Sus scrofa: one gene and its partners. The protein of the gene in region 1 interacts with the protein of each later gene in a pairwise test. Links are inferred from orthologs where the notes say so. Each region holds a gene or a part of one and is shown on either strand. Other genes may lie near its edges.

Evidence for each region.
Region 2: the proteins of SH3BP5 (region 1) and TNKS interact in a two-hybrid assay, tested with the Homo sapiens proteins (2 studies listed by BioGRID and IntAct). The link is inferred for Sus scrofa from reciprocal best matches to the Homo sapiens genes SH3BP5 and TNKS.
Region 3: the proteins of SH3BP5 (region 1) and SOS1 interact in a two-hybrid assay, tested with the Homo sapiens proteins (2 studies listed by BioGRID and IntAct). The link is inferred for Sus scrofa from reciprocal best matches to the Homo sapiens genes SH3BP5 and SOS1.

Annotation. Positions count from the first base shown.
Region 1 is NC_010455.5:2,581,013-2,588,899, reverse strand, and holds the start of SH3BP5 (SH3 domain-binding protein 5), read left to right. Parts: upstream 1-3,298; 5' UTR 3,299-3,451; coding exon 3,452-3,592; intron 3,593-5,240; coding exon 5,241-5,303; intron 5,304-7,887. UniProt on the Homo sapiens protein: Functions as a guanine nucleotide exchange factor (GEF) with specificity for RAB11A and RAB25. Inhibits the auto- and transphosphorylation activity of BTK. Plays a negative regulatory role in BTK-related cytoplasmic signaling in B-cells.
Region 2 is NC_010457.5:55,677,531-55,685,429, reverse strand, and holds the start of TNKS (tankyrase-1), read left to right. Parts: upstream 1-3,885; 5' UTR 3,886-3,950; coding exon 3,951-4,623; intron 4,624-7,899.
Region 3 is NC_010445.4:101,347,156-101,354,255, reverse strand, and holds part of SOS1 (son of sevenless homolog 1), read right to left. Parts: intron 5,383-7,100; coding exon 5,210-5,382; intron 4,744-5,209; coding exon 4,627-4,743; intron 3,608-4,626; coding exon 3,343-3,607; intron 1-3,342.

The DNA of each region.
Region 1 (7,887 bases):
GGAACCTGTGAATATGACAGGTCAGTCACGGCAGTGACTAGGTGGTAAATATGGCAAAACCCTCTCCTTGAAAAATGGGAGACTATTCTGGGTGGACCCCACCTAATCAAGCAAATCCTTCAAAGGGACTGGGGTCTTCCTGAAGAGGAGATTGAAGTATCAGAGGGACTCGACACACAGGAAATCTCTACTGCTGGCTTTGAAGTTGGAGGGGCCAAGTGGTCAGGAATGCAGGCAGTTTCCAGCAGCTGAGGTTGGTCCTTGGCTGGTAGTTAGCAAGGAAATGAAGACTTCAGTCCTACAACCACAAGGAAGTGAATTCAGCCAAGAACCTGAATGAGCTTGGAACGATTTTCTCCTCAGAGCCTTCAGAAAGGAATATAGGCTGGTTGATGTCTGCAATCAGTCTGGGAGACCTTGAGCAGAGAAGAGAGTCACACCAGGTCCGAACGTCAGGCCTACAGAACTATGAGGCAATAAATGAGTGTTGTTTTAAGCCACTAAATTTGTGGTAGTTTGTGACACAGCAGTAGAAAATGAATACATTATGCATTGTTTTAAATTTATTTTAGAAATATACAAATAATCATAAATATACCTACCCTCTTTGTAAAAAATGAAAACATGATTGAGGTGTTCCCATTGTGGCTCAGTAGGTTAAGAACCTGACTAGTACCCATGAGGATGCAGGTTTGACCCCTGGCTTCGCTCAATGGGTTAAGGATCTGGCATTGCCACAAGCTGTGGCATAGGTCACAGATTTGGCTTGGATCTGGTATTGCTGTGGCTGTGGTGTAGGCCAGCTGCTGCAGCTCCAATTCAACCCCTAGCCTGGGAATTTCTATATGCTGCAGGTGAGGTCCTAAAAAGACAAAAAAAAAGAAAAAGAAAAGAAAAGAAAATATCGAGCGATTAAAAGTTCCCTTTGACCACCCCCCAATCCTAGCCAATCTTGGCCCCTCCCTCCCTTTTCCAGGGCTAGCCATCCTTTGTTGGGTATGAATCCTTCCTTTTAAACCTTTTTCCTATACAGCGATGTGCATATGTATGTAATGAAATACATCGTACCGCAGTGGTTTATTTTCCTTATTTTAGCTTCAGAACACTATTTGGGATTCATGCTATGGCTGGTCCAGGTCTTCTAAAAGAGCAACAACAACATCCACAACCAAAGTCTAAACTGAGGTTCTAGAGCAGTTTCCCTATGTCCCATAGAGGCATTTTGAGCCACCCTATTGCTCTTAGATCCAAGCTTAAATAGAAATGTATTTTGGAGGCTGTTGTTTGAGTTGAGAAGCATTTAGAACCAGGGCTGACCTCACTTTCCTTGTTTTCAACCTCTGTCTCAGTTTGTTCACAATCAGGATGAAACTGCTCAGTTATAGGCTCAATCCTGAGCCACCAAGGAAACACTGGTGGCTCTTGTGTCCTAAAGTGACTCTTTTGTTGTTGTTGTTGTTGTTTTGTTTTTTAGGGCCACATCTGAGGCATACGGAAGTTTCCAGACTACAGGAAAAATCAGAGCTGCACCTGCTGACCTATACCACAGCCACAGCAATGCTGGATCCAAGCTGCGTCTGCGAACTACACCACAGCTCATGGCAATGCTAGATCCTTAACCCACTGAGTGAGGCCAGGGATCAAACCCGTATCCTCATGGATACTAGTTGGGTTTGTAACCCGCTGAGCCACAACAGTTACTCTTAATGGCCGTCTTGATCCTGACTTCACCTACCACTGGAAAACGAAATGCAACCATGTGTTTAGCAAGGAGCTTGAGAACATCTCTCAAAGAATTGCTGACGCTTCCTTGATTTAAAGAACAATGAACAGGTGTGACCTGTTTAGAAACAAACCCAAGGCTCTACTTCCAGGAGACAACAAAGGTTCTTTGACAGTGGACCACAGTGTCTGAGTGTGTAGGGTGGAAGCCTGCCCAAAGAGTAAACACCCCCCTCCAACTAAGCCTTTCAGAAAACCATTATAAGCAGGTTTTTCCAAGCTTGGCTTTAATGACAGGCTCTCAGAAAGAAGCTCCTTTCTCAAGCAAGTCTTCCCTTCAAACTCACAGAGCCCATGGGCCACGAGCCTCCATGTAGGAAGTGTGTACACCCTGCAATTTTGTAGTGAAGGAGACATTAGCAATGGCCAGTGGCAATGTCCTTGCCTGCTTCACTAAAGTCATCTGACTTTCTGCTCCCCTGACATCACAGTGGATCTGACATTTCATAAAAGCACAGATATACCCTTATTCTTTGGCTTTTTGTGATGTTGAGTTTGCCAGGCAAGTAAGTTCTGGCTCCCTACCTGTTTGGGTGGGCAGGAAAACTTACTAGCTCATAAATCCTTGGACAGAGTGTGTCCATTAACAGGGGTTACACTCACATCTTTTTTTCTTTTTCTTTTTCCCGCTACCCCTGGAGTATATGGAAGTTCCTGGGCTAGGGGTTGAATCAGCACTGCAGCTAGGTCCCTAACACCACCAGCCACAGGCAAGGTGGGAGCCGAGATGCATCTGCAACCTATGGTTGCCTGCAGCAAGGCTGGAACCATACTCATTGATCGAGGCCAGGGATTGAAACTATCTCCTCACAGTGACACTGTCAGGTCCTTAACCCACTGAGCCACAATGGGAACTCCACACACTCACATCTTCTTGAGAAGGCTGTACCCACCCACTGATCTGTGGATTTTCCATGCGTCCTGGCTATTCAGGGAGGATCACCTAACCCATCGAAAAGCACGTAGCTTGGCCCAGTGGGGGCCACAGCCTTTGGACCAAGAATCCACGCATGGAGCTGCAGCTGGCTCCTCTCTTTATCCTTTTGTGTTTATGTGAGTATATGTTGTAGTTCCCTGTTCTGGGGAAATCTTCAGGTGGATTCAATTCCCAAGGTCACCCACGGGGGCAAAGCGCTTCCAGTGTATACAGGAGTTTGAGTGAGTCTTGAAACTGGTCCCGGGTCACTGAATACCAGCTTCTAAAGGTGACTTCAGACAGTGGCAATACCCCTAACTTCCCTTCCAAGCAGTTAGTTTGCCTGGGCAGAGGAGGGAGGGAGAAAAGCACTCTTGTCACCAGGCGGCTGACGTTGGGGAGCTTGTGATCTCTCCGGGCTGCTAAGTTAAAAGGGGTGAGGGCTCCTCCATTTCACGACCCTAAGGTTTTCCGGGAGTGAGGTTTTGTGACGGAGCCCGGGTGCCGGGGCCATAGCTGGGGCCGCGCAGGGCGGGCGGGCCGGCCTGGGGCGGAGCGGGCGGCGCTGCGCTTACTGCCGCGGCGGACAGGGGGCGGCCGCGCCCACTTCCTCCTGCTCGGGGCCGGGGACCCGCGGCAGCAAGCGGCGCTTCCAGAGCGCACCGGGCGGTGGCCAGACGGCCCCGGCCCAGCCTGCGAACGCCACTCCTGCGCTCCGAAGTCCGCCGTTCGCTTCGCTCTCCGGCCACCCGCATGGACGCGGCGCCGAAGCGGAGCCGGCCGGAGGAGGCGGCCGAGCTCCCGCCGCCAGCCCGGGACTCGGAGGAGGAGGAGGAGGAGGAGGGGATGGAGCCAGGGCTGGAGGAGGAGGAAGAAGTGGACCCCCGGATACAGGTAGGGCGCGTGGATCCCGGCAATGGCACTGAGCCCGCCTCGCGGTCCCCGGTGCTTGCACCCGGGAGAGGTGGCCGCGTAGGTCCGGGGCTGGAGGAGACAGTCAGAGTACCCGGCTTCACCCGGTTCCTGGGAGGCTGCGGTGCCCGCGTGGACGCGGCCTGACTCTATCGCGGGGATTACCCCGCAGGATCCGTGGGGTCGCCGCAGCGTGTCCGGCGGCTCGGGAGGGTGTGCAACAAAGAGAAAAGGGGGCGGGGGCGCCACGCCGGGCTCCCGGAGCCCGAGGGCCGCGTGGGCGCGGGCCGGGGGCGGTGGGCGTCGCCGCCCCTGCAGCAGGGTGGCCTCTCATGCTTGGGGTTCGGAGCACTCACCTGGCGGAGGTGCCCGGCCTGAGCCTGCCTGAGCCTTCTCCCTCTTGCTTTGATTCGTTGTTAGCAGGACGAAGGGTTTATTGTCACCACGGCTCAGCCCTCCGCTTGGCCTCAAATGGTTTAAAACCCAGCGTTTCCTCCTTTTGAGGTCGGCAGTGAACAGAAATTGGGGGCTAACAGCGCAAAGCTAACGTGGCGAGAAGGCGAGGGGATTGGCCTGGCTTCCTTGCCTCCATTTCTCTGGGAGATGATTAAAAGACAGTTTCCAAGCCGAGATCTAGCAGCGACAGCTTAACCTCTTCACCCTCTGGGGAAAAAGCACAGCATATTCCGTTCCAAGACTCTTTCCATAAATCATTTTTTAAAATAAATATTGTTTTGCAGCACGCGATGCGATTTCTGAAGACCTAATTGGTTTTTCAGTGCGCAGATCAATTAAAAGCTCATTTAACTCAGCTGTTGGCGTTTAAATGAATTGTTACGGCAGGTTAGCAAGACAAAGATCAGGTGGAAAAATCTTTACATTAGGAATTCTAAATAAAATCAGTTTGAACTACTAAATTTTGTTTTCTGGGTAGGGGAATTCTGTTGACAAGATCCTTTGTTTGCAGAGTAAAATGAGTTAACTTCATACTGGGCACTTTTTTTTTTTTTAAACAAAATGTCAGTTTGTAAATGTTATTTAAAGATCAATGTTTATGTTAGTTTTAGTTTGTTTTGTAAACAGCTAGGAAGGTTGAATAATTGGCAGTTTGAAAAGATTTTCGTCTCTAAAGAAAAATACTCAACCATGGATGAGTAAGTGCCAGAATTCTGCCTTGATATAAATCATTTCACTGGGTTTTTACTTTTGGCATGGTTTTGTTTGCTTGCTCTTACTGGTTTGGGTTTTTTTTTTTTTTTTTTCTTTTTCCTGCAAGTTTTTGCTCTAAAGCAGAGGGTTATTGTTTGGATTCAGCCCTTAAATCATTGTAACAGGTGAGTTTACCTGAAGGCACATACCTGGAATAAAATATTTGACCTTCTAAGAAAAGAAAATTCCTCGGACCTTAGTCATTTTCAGAAGGGCTACCACCCAGATAAAGGTTTCAGAAATGCTGACATTTCATTTGTTCTTTAGCCAAGGCTCAACTGTTTTCCTTGAAAATTAATACTGACTGGTTCCTCTTCCTGCAAATGATGCTGGAGTAATTTTGCAGGTTGGGAGGGGGGCAGAGTCATACCAGAACAAAAGACAATCCCTGAAAGCTTTTTCTCTCCCTTTTCTTCATCAGGGAGAACTGGAGAAGTTAAATCAATCCACGGATGATATCAACAGACGGGAGACTGAACTTGAGGTACAGAAAGCTGGGTGCTTGTTTTTGGGGAAGTGGCGTTGTCTCTCTGACACCAGGCTGGTTCATTTTGTTTTAAGAGGTGGTTGCTGGCATTCACTTTCGCAGTTGAGCAACAGCCTGCGTCTGACAGAATAAATACACCACTGAGTCCAGCTTGTGGGTGGAACACATGTGGATCCAATTTCATATATATTTTTTTAATCATGGAACCTCCATGGGGCCAAAAGCAAGGGCTTTACACAGACTTAAGCCCTGAAGTTAATGTGTCTGTGGAAAAGTTAAAAGGACTGAAGGGGAAATTGGCTGTGTACTTCAATGGACAGGAGTGAATGAGGTCACACAAATCTCTTAAGCATTTTAAGGGAGCTCCTTACATTGGTGCTTGGAAATAGTGTGTGTTTCCTTAGGAAGATTTAGATCTTTATTGACTTTCTGGGCTGAGAACCCTTCCCTCCCCCCACACCCCTACCCCGCTTCTACCCCTTTATTTATCGACTGCTTGTGCGTGGAATATAATCATCTCAATGGTAATGAAAGGCTGTTTTTATTTATTTATTGTCTTTTTGCCATTTCTTGGGCCGCTCCCGCGGCATATGGAGGTTCCCAGGCTAGGGGTCGAATTGGAGCTGTAGCTGCCAGCCTACGCCAGAGCCACAGCAACGCAGGATCCGAGCCATGTCTGCAACCTACACCACAGCTCACGGCCACGCCAGACCCTTAACCCACTGAGCAAGGCCAGGGATCAAACCCACAACCTCATGGTTCCTAGTTCGATTCGTTAACCTCTGAGCCACGATGGGAACTCCATGAAAAGCTGTTCAGACTGGGAAGGGCTTTCCTGCTCAGAAAAATCTTGGGAGACAGGACCTCAATTTGAATTTCATGAGTATCTTCCAACCTGAGTGTAAAGAGATGAACATTCTTCACAGGTCCTAGTTTGTCCCCATCGTTTTCAGCAGCAGTTGGTTTTACCAACCATCAGCCAACTTGAACAACCCCCACTTCTGTCTGAGAACTGCTGTGGGAGGACCTGTTTTTGTAGCAGGGAGAATGCAGGGAAGGTCAGTGGAAAAGGCAGGACACCGCTGGTCCCTGTGAGTCAGGAGTGGGAGATAGGAATGCCATCTCCTCCGCAACACAGGAGCAACCTTGATTTCTGCCTGCATGTCCAGGCTCTGGAGATACAGAACCTAGAGTGGCCCTGGAGGGTTGAAGTGGGTTTTCTGAGCTGTGCACGAAGGGGTCTTGCCAGCCGCTCTGTTCTGACGAGAGGTATCTGTGAACACTGGCTACTCTTCTTCCCCAAGTGAAGTCAAATCTGCAGGTTTCAATTTTTTTCATGTGTGGTGAATGAAGTCTCTTGGGAAATTGAAATCTCTCAGAATCACAGTTTTTTTTTTTAAAGAAAATTTGTAATTTTATTTACTTCATTTTTTATTTTTTAACTAAAAATTTAAAAATTTGTTGAAGTATAGTTGATATATAGTGTTGTTAATTTCTGCTCTACAGCAAAGTGATTCGGTTGTACCTATATAAAAAATTAGTTTTCATATTCTTTTTCACTTTGGTTTACTACAGGATACTGATTTTTAGTTCCCTGTACTCTACAGTAGGACCTTGTTGTCTGTCCATTCTATACATAATAGTTTGCATCTGCTAATCCCAAACTCCCTATCCATCCCTTCCCCTTCCACTTTGGCGACCACAGGTGTGTTCTTTATGTCTGTGGGTCTATTTCTGGGTTTTTTTTGCCATTTTGGTTTTGTATATAAATTCACTTGTATCATTTTTTTATAGATTCCACATATAAGTGATAGCATATGGCATTTGTTTTGTCTGGCTTACTTCACTTAGTATGGTAATCTCTAGGTCCAACCGTGTTGCTGCACATGGCGCTATTTCATTCTTTTCATGGCTGAGTAGTATTCCATAATGTACCACATCTTTATCTGTTCTTCTGCTGATAAATAGTTAGGTTGCTACCATGTCTTGGCTGTTGTGAATAGTGCTGGTATAAACATTGGTGGTGCATGTGTCTTTCCAGATTATGGTTTTCTCTGGATACATGCCCAGGACTGGGATTGCTGGATCACAGCAGCTCTGTTTTTAGTTTTTTTAGGGATGTCCATACTGAGAATATCAGGTTCATAATACATTCAGCCCGTACCTTTTCTATCAAGATTTGGTGTTTCCAAAGTGTTTTCACCAGCTTCATCTCTTTCTAGCCTGTCACAGCAGCCTAGACCTGTGCTGCCCAGGATGGCGGCCAGTTGCCACACATGACTTTTGAATTTGCGTTAATTACAATTAAATCAGACTTCAAAAAAATTCAGTTCTTCAGTCACAGTAGCCACATTTCAAGGGCTCTCTAGGCACTGTGTTGGACAGATCAGAGAGGACTTCCATCATTGTAGAAAGTTTTGCTGGATGTCAGAGGCCTGGCAGGCAGGGAGGCAGGGCCCACCTCTTCTCACAGAGGCTCAGTGTTTTCACAGCTCAGTGCCACAGGAGAGCCCCCTCATTTTCCACATCCCCACCAGCCCTCATATTCTGCCATCTCAAATATGAACAGACAAGTTAGAAA
Region 2 (7,899 bases), on another chromosome or scaffold:
TCTGCCCCCAGAGGTCTTTGCTCCAGTCTTCCCTGGGGGTTGGTAATGGCTCATGGTCAGCCTGTGGGAGTCTGCAGGCCATCAGACCATCAGAGGGATCAAAGTTCATTAAGGCTTGGTGAGCTGGCCCAGTGTTTTGACTGGGGAAGCTGAGCCCTCCAGGTGTGCCTCACAGTCCATTGGTTTGCAGCAGCCTCAGCCCTATTCTGATTGGCTACACCCAAAGTTTCCTGAGCTATTATATCATTACATACGCATTGGTGGCTAGTTATAGCATTCCTCGTCAATACGTTCCAGCGCTTTTAGGAACTTTTCTAAACTTTATGACCTTGGAGGATGGCAGGTGTTTATCTCTTTCGAGTGAGGAAGCCATATGCTAATCCTTAACACGGTATATATGTACGATTTTAATTATTTTAGGAAAAATGCTTACAAGGGAAAGAATGTATTGAGTAGGAAACCTCGCTTAAACATTTTTTAACCACAAAGCAAATAAGTTTTATTTACCCCTGTTAAAATGAAGGATGGGCCATTCTTCAATTACGCATAGCTAGTTAGTAACAAAACTAGGATTCATACCCAAGCAGTCTAAATGCGGAGTCCACAATCTTAACTACTGTATTATACTGTCTCTCTGCCTACAACAAACATTTCTTCGTTCAAGAGACTACTCTGTAGTGTATAGGCCATATCAGGAGAAAATCCAAGTTATCAGATGGCAGACTATAGATGTCTTGTGAACAACATGAAGAGGACTGTGCTATGCAAAAGATATAAAGCAGCTGAAAATTTAAACGGGGGGTTGCCAGTAAACTAATATATAGGGGATTTTAAATTACTGTAACTTTCCTGCCTTGCAATAGTTGCTTTGCTTTTCTAATAAAATTTCCTCTGATACAATGAGGTTAGCATGATTGCAGCTGGTGAAATTGTTGCCCCCTGCCCCCATAGCTTTACAAGAAAAGATTCTTCTGAGTTTCTGGATGAAACTTCAGTTAAACACTCTTTCGGCTGAGTGGTAATACCATCATAGAGAAATCTGGGCCTTTTGCACCATCGGCATTTCTGACATAAGGATATTATCTTCTTCTAAGCCCCAGCTGAGGAAATAGCACTGCCTCCACCAAATTATAGCTTTAGCTTGTGCTGTGGTTGCAGAAGAGGCATGGCATAGAGCACTGAAGAATAAGTGGACTTGTAAATTGGAGACACTACCAGTGAACCTGAATTTGGAGCAGATCATTGGGAAGCATGTGGATGGAATAACCACATCGAGTCTAGATGAAATATGGAGACTGTGTAACTTACAAAGTGTGTCCCATGGGGAGAAAAACAAACATCACAACATAGCCCAGAAGATGAGCACCCTTTGAGTTGGTCACTCCATTTTCAGTGTCAGCAATATGGCTTAAGAGAGTATTATGGGCTCATGTTTTTATATCACTTGGACATGATTTCTCTGAAAACATTTTTGAAAATAGTAAGATGCTACACAAATATGATGGTCAACAATATAATTCTTGGAGAAAGGGCCTGTAAGGAATCTCGAATTTTCTGATGAGGAAATAATTAAACCTGATTTTTCTTTGCTTAAGATTCCAGTTACATACAAAAGAGTGAATATTTATCTTTGTCACTGTCTTTTTTATAAAGGAAGTTGTGAGGCGAGAGCTATCAACAATGGCTATCAACACTTTATGCATAGTACATAAGATCATGAAACTAACAATCAAGATGTGCTTACAAAACACCTAGGTCTTTTATTCCTCATGGCAATGGTACAATAAAATCAGAATTTTAGAATGACAGATCTAAAACACAGCTACCAAGATTAGCCAACTAGGAATTATCAGAGATGTGATTCAAGCCCAGGTTTGTTTTATTATACGCTTTGCTCTTTTCATGAGGGTACAGTGCATCCCTCACGGAATTGTGTTTAGCTATAAAAGATTAGGTAATGATATCTGGTCTTTCATGTTTAGAGCTCAACATTAGTCCATATAAACGCAAACATTATAAATACTTAATGTTAAGTACTTTTACTAATTTTCAGTGGTGGAGGGAGAAGCAATTTCCAATTTATTGAATGCATTTTCAGACATAGTTTACCAGTAGAATAGTTTTAGGCAATTCAGCTTTTTTTATCTCTATCCCTCCAAAACTTTTGAATTTATTTGGTACTGATAAAAAGATGTAATAGATCCATTTTGAATTAGGACGAACATTACTGCTTCTTGTGATCTATGAGTAACTGGCCATCAGGATGCTAGGTGAGATAATTCTTTATGCCTCCCACTCAGGGAGAAGGTCATAGATGGGGGGCACAAGGTGAGTGAGTTGTGGACATGTAATGCATCATGTTGATTCACCCATACTCCTCAGTGCTACCTCGTGTTGTGCATTAATGTTCAAAACCAGGAAAATGTATGTTGTGGACAGATTTTAGTCACACTGATAGAGTTTTCCTATCCAGCCACACATTTGTCAATATGTGAACAATGGCCCAAATTTATAAAACAAATGGATAATTTTAATTAAATGACAATAAATGTCCACCAATAATATTATGTTCCTGATTTGTTGTATTTAGATGGTAGTGTTAAATAAATTTACCTATTAATTTAGATGGGAATATTAGCATCACACTAATTACATTTAATAATGAATATGTCAAACGACAATTTATCACATAGTTTAGTATTCTCCCAATCAAAATTTCTACTTGACTCATTTAAAATGAGCTTTCCTTAAGACACAATCTCCATCTGTGTCTACTCTCTTGGAATAATGCTGTTTGTCTAAACTTCCATAATGCCTACTTTCCTATTAAACAGAAGGCAGGAAATGGAGACCTTACGAGATTATGCCATTCATTGATCCATCTCTTCTGATGGTAGACAAAAAAATAAGTATAGGCAGAGGAAAAAAAGAAAAAGTAGTTGTTGAAGGATGGCTTCTGAAGGTGAGTGATGGATGGAGAAGTCAGGTTTTTTCTTAGTTTGGAAGGGAGAGAGAAGAGGGATGACAGGAATAGAGAAGGTCAGCCAAAATGAATTAAAAAAAAAAAACATATTTGTAATTATCTGAGTCAAGCTTAAGGTGAGAAACAAAACTACAGAGAGAACTGAAAAACCCGTAATTGTAATAGTTAACATTTATTGAACTATCAATTCCCCTTTGCAGCGGGGAACCTGAGACACAGAGGGGTTAATTTAAATAGCTTGCCCAAATTTACACAGCTCCTTCTGGTAGTCTGAATTCCAATCCTGGCAATGTGAACCACCATTTGCAAATGGGGCGTTAAGGAAGTACATAAAGTACGAAATCTTATGGAGAGGGGGTATAGAGACCAAGGGAATAACTGGAGGGTGGGGGTGGGGGTGGGGAGAGACTGCATTTAAAAAAAATTTACCAGTGGGCTAATTATAGTTGTGCTTTATTAAGGGACAGAGCACTTTATATATGTTAGCTCACTTAATCCTGCTAACAATTCTAGATACGAGTCCCTTTTTCAGACGAGGACACTTGATAGATGAGAAACGACACATACGCACCTTGCAAAGTTCCACCTCAGTACCAGGCTCTTGAGCAAGACAAAGAAGACCAAAGGAGACTTGGCAACAGGAGGGAACGGAGCAAAATAAGTAGGCTGAACGTGAGAAATGCAGGAAAAATTTCCCATTTTTAGGCCCAGGCCGGTTCCAACTTTCAAACTTTTCCAGCCGGCCCGCCAAGGAGTCACAAGGCCCCCCCTGCCCCCCGGCAGTCACAAGCCACGCCCCTCCCGCGGCGGCGCTCGGAGCTCCCAAATACTTCCCTCCCGCTACTTGACCCCGCCCACTCTGCCTAGCATCATTTCCTGTGCGCTGGGTGCTAATTGGTCCAGAAGTCGGAAGTGAGGGCGGGCGGTGGGGCCGTTGCCGCAGTGACAGAGCTGGGGGAGTCTGAAGATGGCGGCGTCGCGTCGCTCTCAGCATCATCACCACCATCATCAACAACAGCTCCAGCCCGCCCCAGGGGCTTCGGCGCCGCCGCCGCCACCTCCCCCCCCACTCAGCCCAGGCCTGGCCCCGGGGACTACCCCAGCCTCCCCTACGGTGGGTGGCCTGGCACCCTTCGCCTCCCCGCGGCACGGCCTAGCGCTGCCGGAGGGGGATGGCAGTCGGGATCCGCCCGACAGGCCCCGATCCCCGGACCCGGTTGACAGTAGCAGCTGTTGCAGTACCACCAGCACAATCTGTACTGTCGCCGCCGCTCCAGTGGTCCCGGCGGTTTCCGCCTCATCTGCCGTCGGTGTCGCTCCCAATCCAGCCGGCGGTGGCAGTAACAATTCACCGTCGTCCTCTTCTTCCCCGACTTCTTCCTCTTCTTCCTCTCCATCCTCCCCCGGATCGAGTTTGGCGGAGAGCCCCGAGGCGGCCGGAGTTAGCACCACAGCAACATTGGGGCCTGGGACAGCCGGACCTGGGCCAGGGGTCTCAGCAGTGAGCGGGGCCCTCCGGGAACTGTTGGAGGCCTGTCGCAATGGGGACGTGTCCCGGGTAAAGAGGCTGGTGGACGCAGCAAACGTGAATGCTAAGGACATGGCCGGCCGGAAATCTTCTCCCCTGCACTTCGCTGCAGGTCAGAGACTTTTAAATTGCTTATTAAGGGCTTTGATGTTGGGACCGGGGAGTGGGTGGTAGGGGTGGTCCGGGTAGGGAAAGGAAACAAGTTATGATGGAACAGTGGAGGCGTGGTTATGGGTCATCAGCACCTCTTGGGAAGACTAGAGGTTCCTTTCTTTAGGTAGTGCCTGGGTGACGGGGGCGTGGTAGGGGTGTGTGTGAATCCATTCTTTTTAGTGTTTGCACAGTAATCCTTGTACCCATCCCCAAACTCCTTTAGTGGTAGTCTCAGGATATGGGTATACTTAAACTTTTTTTGTTCCAATTGTGTAGGAATAAAGTTAGATTTGAACAGTCTTAGAGTGGTTTTGTCATTTGTTTGCTAATTTATTTCGTTTTTACCAGAGTATGTCCCATGAGGACAGTTAGACCAAAAGAAGTTCAGTGTAACTCAGCAAGTATTTACCTCTTAGCCCCTGGGATACATAAATGAAGTTAGTGAAACTTTCCCTCCTTTTCAAGGAGTTTACAGTCTAATTGGGTAGCTCAAGACATGCCTATATGAAACAACCGAAAAAATATTTGGAAGCATTATATGATGGCAGAAGAAATATAGGCTTTGAATTTCTGGACACTGCTATTTGTAGTTGCCTAACGCAGTTTACCTTATCTCTGTTGCCTCTGTTTTCTCGTGGGCAAAAATGATATACTAAGGTTGTGTGGGGATTTAGTGAGAAGCATCTGGCAGGTAACTTCTCCCCCCAGAATGTTAATTCCTAAACCCTGGACCACTATACACTTTTGTGGGGGGTTTTGTTTTGTTTTGTTTTTTGAGCAAGTAGTTGACTAATTTTAAAACGCTTAATGTATCTTTATTAAATACAAAGAAATATGAAGCAAAAAGGATCTTAATCTCACTGCCTAGATACCTACTATTGATATTTTTTAAAGTAAAGGTAATAATATTGTGTACATTAGAAATATGTGTTGAACGTACATTATAAAATTCATATAATACAGAAATAGATAAAATGAAAAAGCAACACACACACACACACATCAAAGATAGTACACCGAAGCTTTTATTAAGTTTCTTGCTGTATTTCTAATATGTATCACTCTTTCGGTTTGTTCTGTTGATGGTAGGCATATGTTAAGAACTTACTAAATGTATTATTTATTTTTACCACAACTTGGAAAATATTTTTATTCCCATTTTACAGATGACAAAAATGAAGCACATACTGCTTAAATAAGCCTATGTTCACACAGAAATAGTGGGACCTGGATTTAAACTCAGACAGTTTGATGTTAGAGTTTGTGAAGGCTTGAACAGTATAATCTATATCTCCTTTAATGTCACTTTGCTTTTTTGAGCATAATTGTGATGAGTTTCTACTTTGGCAGTGTTTGGAGGGAAGAGATAATTGAGGTCATATGCTCTAAGGGTAGTGTTCACACCTTTTTTGTTGTTGTTGTTCTTTTGCAGCCCATACCTATTCCTAACAATGTATTTTACATTGTCACACACACAAACTGAATCAAAAGTTTCAGGAAACAATTCTTTCCCTTGCTACATGTGTTCTACTCTGATATTTTATATCCTATTCCATTTCCTTTCTTACAAACGCTGCTGTTTGTGATCCCATTAATGAGTCATGATCAGCAATATGAGAAACACTTACAGGAAATCATTATTAGATTGCTAGATCCATTCTTGAAATATAGACACTACTGTTAGGACTGTAGTGAACTAAATCATAAACAGGCTTCCATTTAAGTACATACATGCTCAGGGGTGTTGCTTATTTGAAATGAACTTACATATCTTTTCCTTTGGGCCAAATGAAATATCCATAATGAATCAAGTGGGACTGTTTGCTTTTGCAGACTTTATTCCAAATTTGACTATTTTAACACATTGTTTCACAAATCTTGTTTTTTCTTGCCATACTTTATTATGAGTAATCACTAACAGATGATAGTTATATTAATTTGTGTAATAATGTACTCATTTAGGGTTAGCCACACTTAAAATAGTGCTTGTCTTCAAATTCACCTCTTCTGTTTGCCACAATAGTTACTTTTTATTCTATTTTAGAGTTTTATGTGTAACCAGATAAGATACACAGATAAACAGTAAAACAGTCCTATAATTATGTTGTAGTTTTAAGACCCTAATCTTGAACTGGTTTTTTTAGGGGGAAAAAAATAATTTTTGTTAGTTCAGTGTGGAAAACAGAACAAAAACAGTAAAACTTCCCCTGGTATAAAAACCCTATAGTCAATTTACTGCTTTCATGTTTGTGTTTATAGCATTAAAGCTTTGTTAAATCTAGTCTTTTCTGTCCTGTGTAGGCTGGGTAGTTAAAAAGTAATTCTCTATTGACTATTAGTTGGTTAGAATGCTAGTCACTGAATGTCACGGATGAGCTGTTTTAAAGGTAGGAAATTGGTACAGTTTCTTGAATAGAAAAGTTTAAAAATTATAGTTCTTTTGTTCCACACGTCTATTATTATTTATAGGTCAGGTGTTAAATACTGAAGCAGTTTTGAAGTGGCAGATAGTCCTTACCCTTATGGAGCTTACAGTGTAATGGGGAAAACTAAGTAACAACAACAACAATAAAACACCACAGGCTATGTAACTTAGAGTGATGGGAGAAGTATACTGTACTGTCTTTTGGAGCAGGCAGTAGATTCTCTTGCCCTGGTTTTAGATAATTTAAAGAAGCCTTTCTAGATAAAGAGATTTTTTGTTTTTTAAAGCAGGTATTTAAAGAATGAGTCCAAGCTAGCCAAGCAAAATGGGAAGGAAAATATGTTAATTATTGCCTTTATTTCCATTTAAAGATGAGTATAGTTCTGTAGAATGAAATGAAACTGTTTTTATGTTTCATTGCAGTGGCATGAAGTCATATTTAAATCTTTATGCCTTAAAAAAAAATTAACACAAGAGTAACCGTAATTCTTTCCAGCAGAATTAAGACTCCTTTCTATCCTATTTTGGACCATGATAATTATTTGTTTAAAATATAGCTTAGAGGAGTTCCTATTGTGGCTCAGTGGAAATCAATCTGACTAGCATCCATGAGGACACAGGTTTGATCCCTGGCCCAACTCAGTGGGTTCAGGATCTGGCGTTGCTGTGAGTTGTGGTGTAGGTCTCAGACAAAGCTCAGATCTCTCATGGCTGTGGCCGTGGCCTAGGCCAGCTGCTGTAGCTCCAATTAGACCCCTAATCTGGGAACTTCCATATGCCACAGGTGTGGCCCTAAAAAGACAAAAAAAT
Region 3 (7,100 bases), on another chromosome or scaffold:
GATGTGCAACAGATTTGGACAGAAAAAATTTTTGTTTTAAAATTATTTTGAAAAAAAATCTAAGAAGCAATAAAGTACTATTATAACATTAAAAATTCTAGTTGATTTTGCCTTTTGAAAGACTTAAGCAATGGAGGTTTCTGGGCTTTTTATTGAGTAAAACATGTTCAGATGACTTAATGCACAGCAGCTCTTTCCTGCCAGGCCCTGAAGGAAACAAGGAAGTAGGTATTCAGTCTAGTGCAACACAATGACCACCAAGCTGGGCATGCTAGTGACCCCCACCCCCTTAACACTAGCAGATTTGTTAAGCAGAGTGGGGTCAAAAACAAATGAGGACCTCTAAGATACACAGGGCACTGATGAGTTTTAAGTACAGAATAACTGAACATACACATGGTTTTATATTATGCTGGCTTACTTAATTTCAAAATCAGCTATTTTCTATTTTTACTGAGAACAAAGGAGGAGTGATAGGGGTTTTCTTTAACACAAAGAAAGAGAAATTGAGAAAGTCCTCAGGGTTAAGATTACAAAGCCTAACTCCTGGTATGATGGTTTCTTCTCTTGTCCAGCTATCATAATGTTATTCCGATGCCACATATGACAAAAGCACTGATCTAGAGCACTGCATTCCAAAATGATTCCCTTTTCCCTGTTTAATTATTTAAAGATTTATCACTAGTAGGGAATGTAATAAGCTTTTCTCCTGTTTTTCCACCTCTTCCACTTTTAGCTACTTAAACTAAGAGAAATAGAATTTGTAATTGATGGCTTCTGGTGATTTCTATAATTCATTTATGTGAGAATCTTTATATTATAGATCACAGCCATCTGCTCTAGGAAAAAACACTGCAAACAGTTATATGGGTCAGAATAAATAATGACTTTAAGTCAGTTATACTTCAAAAAATGCTGGTTTTATTTTTTTAATATAGGATGTTGACAAGTTGGGAAAAATAGATAGGAATTTTTTTACCTATTATATTTGAACTTATAAAAAACATCCGATAGTCTACTATATGCATGACTCCATAATCCTCCTGTAGCCAAACAAAGCCAAGATACAGTAATTCTCAAAATAAATACACTTTAGATGGTAAAAAGTTAAACAGACTGCTTTGTAACTACAAATATATGTACAGCACAGGAATAAATAAATAGGATTTATATATTCCGGATCAAATCTCAAAATAACATACCTCCAAAGAATACTTTTTTTTTTGGTCTTTTTAGCTGCACCCATGGCAATATGGACATTCCCAGGCTAGGAGTCCAATCAGAGCTGAAGCTGCCAACCTATACCACAGCCACAGCAACACCAGATCTGAGCTGGGTCTGCAGCTCATAGCAATGCTGGATGCTTAACCCTGTCTGAGCGAGGCCAGGGATCAAACCTGCATTCTCATGGATACTAGCCATGACATTAATACTGAGCCATGACAGGAACTCCTCCAAAGAATACTTTTTTAAAAAGTTAGATTCTTGGGGGTTCCTGTCATGACACAGTGGAAACGAATCTGACTGGGAGCCATGAGGTTGCAGGTTCGATCCCTGGCCTCACTCAGTGGGGTAAGGATCCAGCATTACTGTGGCTGTGGTGTAGGCTGGTGGCTACAGCTCTGATTAGACCTCTAGCCTGGGAACCTCCGTATACCGTGGGTGCGGCCCTAAAAAAAAAAAGAAAAAGTTAGATTCTCTGAGTTGGAAGAAACCTTAAAAATCTAGTTTGGGAATTTCTGTTGTGGCTCAGTGAGTTAAGGACTCAAAGTTGTCTCTGTGAGGATGTAGGTTGGATCCCTCGCTCAGTGGGTTAAGGATTTGGTGTTGCCGCAACCTGTGGTGTAGGGTGCAGATGCAGCCTGGATCTGGTGTTGCCATGGCTGTGACCTAGGCAGCAGATGTAGCTCCAATTTGACCCCTGGTGTGGGAACTTCCATATGCTGCAGGTGCAGCTGTAAAAAGAAAAAAAGAAAAAAAAAGGAAAAAAAAAAAAAAGGAAAAAGGAGAGATCTAGTTTGATCTAGAGGGCGCAGAAAAAGTTTTTTTATCTAAAATGAGAAAGTTCACTGGCAGACTGAGATGACAAACTAGGATTCCTAAACTCCTACATCAGTGATTTTCAAGCTCCCCTCCAATAATGACGTCATGCTGCCTCTCAGTACTGGATCTTATTATGTCAAACACTAGAGCAGAAGTTGAACTGTACACTGAGCTAGACAGACAGCCAATGGGAAGACCATGTGGAAATGGTTATGAGAGTTAACCTTCATAACCTCATAAAGACAACTGGATTCAAGTTTTGATTTAATAATGAATAAATGAAAAAAGGTTGTGTGTTCTTAGCAGAGCTTTAAAGATCCATATAAAAATGATTAAAAAAATTAATGGAAGCAGGGTGCTCTAGATACAAAAAGTAGCCTCTTCAAAGGGCTGTACAGTTTGGTAGCCGTTAGCCATATGTGGTTTTTAAGCATTTGAATGTGGCTAGTCTAAATTGAGACATGCTGTAAGTATAAAATGCATACTGGATTTTGAAAATTTAGAACAAAAAGGGAGATGTAAAATAACTCAATGAGTTTTTATATGGATTTCAGGATTTCATGTTGAAACGACAACATTTTTGCATATACTGGGTTAAATAAATATTATTAAAATTAATTTAACTGAATTCTTTTTGCTTTTTAAAATGTAGCTATAGAACATTTAAAGTTACACATGTGGCTCACATTATACTTCTATTGGACAGCACTGATCTAGAAATAGGAAAACGATGAGCAATAGTATGCAGTCTGTGAGATTTGTATGGTTGGGCTTGAAAGCATAGGAGTGTATTAGCAGGCACTATATACCATCTGCTAGATGATGTAGACTAAGAAAGAGTTAAATAGGAGTTTGAATTTGATACACTGCACAGTTAGAAACTACAGAGTTTGGTGGGAAAGGGACCACGTACTGAGTAGTATTCAAATACAATTTTGGAGGCAGCATTTAAACTATCACTGACATTTCATGTAGGTTTTAGGTGTTATCCTTGTTTCCTCTGGAAGCTGGAGATGCCTTTACAATTTATCAACTGAAAACAAATGCTCAAATGAAGTTTCAATTATCAATTTCATCACCAGGTCTATTATTAAAGTATAATACATTTAAAGAAAGCTTTTCTAACAGATTTTTAAAAAAAACTCTAAGTTGCTGAAGTTTAAAATTTGTTTTATATTTTTACAATAATTTTTGACTTATCTACAAATTTACCAAAAAAAAATGTATATACAGACTTTTTACCTCTAGTGCATTTAATACTAACAATTACTTTAAAGCACTTAAAACTTGAGCACCTACTTGAGTGAAAAGGGCTTGAATGATCAGAATCAAATACGCTGCAAACATCTGTGGTACTAGAAGCACCAGAAGCAGGAGGAGGTGTTAACGGTGTTCTTGGAGAATTTGGTGCAGATGCTGTACTTTCTGTTTCACTTTCAGGGATCCTACTATAACTAATTTTCCTTGGCTCCTGCTGCAGAGGTGTGGGATGTCTCATGGTACCTGGTCTTGGGTTTGATGGACGAACGCCAGGAGATTTTAGGGGATAGTTGTATTTTTTTGGCTGCAGACATATCAAAAGAAACACAAGTATTTACAACACCATAATGGAAAAGGTTTTTCTATTCATGCCTAGTAAAATTCAACAAATATCTAGGAAAACCACAAATCACTAATAAAGAAGTTACATAATAAATCAAATCAAAGCATCCAAATTAAAAGCATTAGCATTCCATTTTCACAAAGCCTTGGCTATCTAAATTATTAGGTAATTAATTTCTTTAAATAACTGAGTCTTAGCCCTATAAATATCAGAGTATTTGTTATTTTGATATTTTTAGATGGAAAGCTTTCTAAGATATGTTGTCTATTTCTCTGGCTTTATTTCCAATTTGCTGTTTTTAATCCACCTTTTAAAAAACTGTTTAGGCCTTGAGAAATTTTCTTGTGAGGTAATTTCATAAGCTTTAGATCACAGACATTATGAAAATTTTCTTGGTTACTTAGAAGCCATTTATGTTTAGTTCTTGATTACTGACTTTCTTATGAATAACAGAGATTCTATTCAGAACTGTGAGATGCTAATACTGTACATAAATTTGGCCAGACACTTATAAGTAATAAACAATGGAAACTTTATTTCCCTCCCCAAAGTATCTTTAGCCAAACCTGTTATTTTTACAGCTAATGATTCATGGTTAAAAGTTCTCATAAGCCATTATTTAAAAAAAAGTCTTAAGTATATATATTTATTATAAGTGAATTAATATAAATTAACCAAATTTTCTGCTCTTAAAATCTTGAACATTTTGGGGTGGGGGGTTAAAAAAAATCTTGCATGTTTGTGCAACTTCTTCATCTATTATATTAGGATTTATTCACATTAATATTAGTGTCCATTTACTTGGAACTAAGTGGAATAATCCTGAGCATTTTTATTAAGCACTTATTCACTATTTTTATCCATTACATGTGTACTTCATCTCTGAATGCTTTTACAGAAAACTATAAACCGCCAGATATACATGACAACTGCAAAAAAATACACAAATGTGAAAGAAAAATAAATATATGAATGCTTACAAATCTTGGGAGAGGTTTAGGGTTTCGTGGTTCTATTTCTAGGGATTTGTTGAAAAGATAATCTGTAAATTCTTTTTCCATGCTACTTCCCATTGGATTCAAGTTTTCAAAGAACCTCTAAAATGCAAAGAAATAAACAACTCTTAACATTAAATACTTTAAATTCAGTTTGAAACTCATGAAAACAATTTAAGATGGAATTATTTAAGTTTTGTTTTCCTTTTTCTCTTCTATGAAATAAACCTGCCTCTTATCAGGTATTTATAAACTTAATCAGAAATATGTATCCTTGGAGCTCCCATCATGGCTCAGTGGTTAGCAAACCTGACTAGCATCTATGAGGAAACGGGTTCGATCCCTGGCCTCACTCAGTAGGTTAAGGATCCGGCATTGCCGTGAGCTGTGGTGTAGGTCGCAGACTCAGCTTCGATCCAGCAATGCTGTGGCATAGGCTGGCAGCTTCGGCTCTGATTGGACCCCTAGCCCAGGCACCTCCATATGCCGCAGGTGGGGCCCTAAAAAGACAAAAGACGAAAGACAAAAAAATAAAAATAAAAATGTATCCTCAAATAATTCAACTTACTTTGATATCTGATTCTACTCGTAAACAATAAGGCTGATTTTGGTACTGCTGGATCTCGCCTGTTATTTCTGCCACTTTCCTCCTTTTGCTAAAGTTTATAAGCTCTTTTCCATGCCTTTTTAGGACCTCAGGGTTGCCTTCTTCTGTTTTCAAGATATTAGTTAGATAAATTCCTAGAAGATATAATGAAATTATTTCAAGGATAAAAAAGGAAAAGGCTAGTTTTCTTCTTTCTCAGTAATTATAGGCATATTATTACACTGTACCATCTCAATTACTATAACCAAAGAATTAAGGAACAAACAACAAGCTAAGTAAATTTTTTTAAGTATCAAAAAAATATATGTATGTATTAAATACTTCTATGACATGTTTTATAAATACCTAAGAAAAGGGGAGGCCAATTTTAACAAAATTAATAGACTTTTAGGAGGAATAATCTATTTTCCATCCTCCCTCCCCAAACCATATGTTATTTGACATAAGTCATGGTTTTGTAAAAGCACTTTAAGAATAACCCATCACTAATGACACATATTTTTGACAAAAGAAGAAAATAGTAAGTTCAGAGGATTGTATTTTCTGCTTACTCAGCTCTTGAGGCAACCTCTGCAAGAGGTTATTAGGATTTGTAATTCAGAGGCTGTACTGTTTGGATAGGCTTACTCATGAAAATGTGGAAGGATGTTGCAAGCCTATCAAACACAGGACTGCATAGAATTTACGTATATTCTGGTCTTCAGTACTTTGAAAATTATGGCAACCTGTAAGGGAGCTCCTGTTTCCCTATCATTGCAGGATGTGCACTGATGGGGAGGAGAATGAATAAAACAACAGGCACTTTAGTTCTTTACACAGCTTTCTGGTACCAGGAGCATTTTAGTTCCTTTCTGTTCTAGCATAAAGGTTCTGAAGCCGGCTCTGCTGTTTTCCACTTTTGTGATGCTGTGTAAATTGTTTAGCTTCTCTGTGCTTTGGTTTGCTCATCTGTAAAATGGAATGGCAGGGTTGCTGTGAGAAATAAATGAGTAGATTTATGTACTAGCTTAGAATAGGGCCTGACAAAAGTAGATGCTTAATTAGCTATGGTTGTGATTGCTGATGCTGTTTCTATTTGTGCCCTATTCTCTTATCTCTGCCTTTTCTTCTAAAATACTGACTGTGATGCTTTGGGGGAAAAAAGAGCGTGAATATATGAATTCATTCACTCAGTACACATGTACTGAGTCTCTGCTGTATGCTAAGTACTATAGATATAAATATGAGTAAGACACACAGTTCCTGACCTCAAGAAGTTCAAGAGCTTTGAATATGGGTTACTACTACAGCACCATCTGGTAAGTGCTATACTAATCAGTACCAATGGATAAGATGCTATGAGAGCTCTGTCTTGAGCTACTGGGAGTAGAAAAAGCATCACGGATTAAAATATGCTTAAAGTAAGTATCAAAAAATGAATATAAGTTTAATAAGTGGAATAAGATAGAGGGGCATTTTAAGTGGAGCAGCCATGTGTTTGAAGGCACTAGTCTCTGGTGAAGCTTGGAAGGCATACTCAGAAATGCTGTGTGGTATGGCTAGACCTTAGCCGTTTGGTGTAATGGTGTGTGGGATGGAGGAAAAGTGGCAGGATATGAGGATAGGCACAAGTTAAGGGATTAGTAGTTCTAATTCCTTTCCCATCATTGCAGGTTATGCACTGGATGAGAAGAATGAACAAAGAAATAGGCACTTCAGTTACAATCATAGATCAGTGGTTCTAAAATGACTTTGTGGTAAAGGCAAACTTTTAAATACTAGAATTTTTGGCCATATTCTTGGAAAGATTAAACGACTCAAAAATCAATAGTGAACAAATTAACAATAATGAAACATGATAAAATCAATGCCT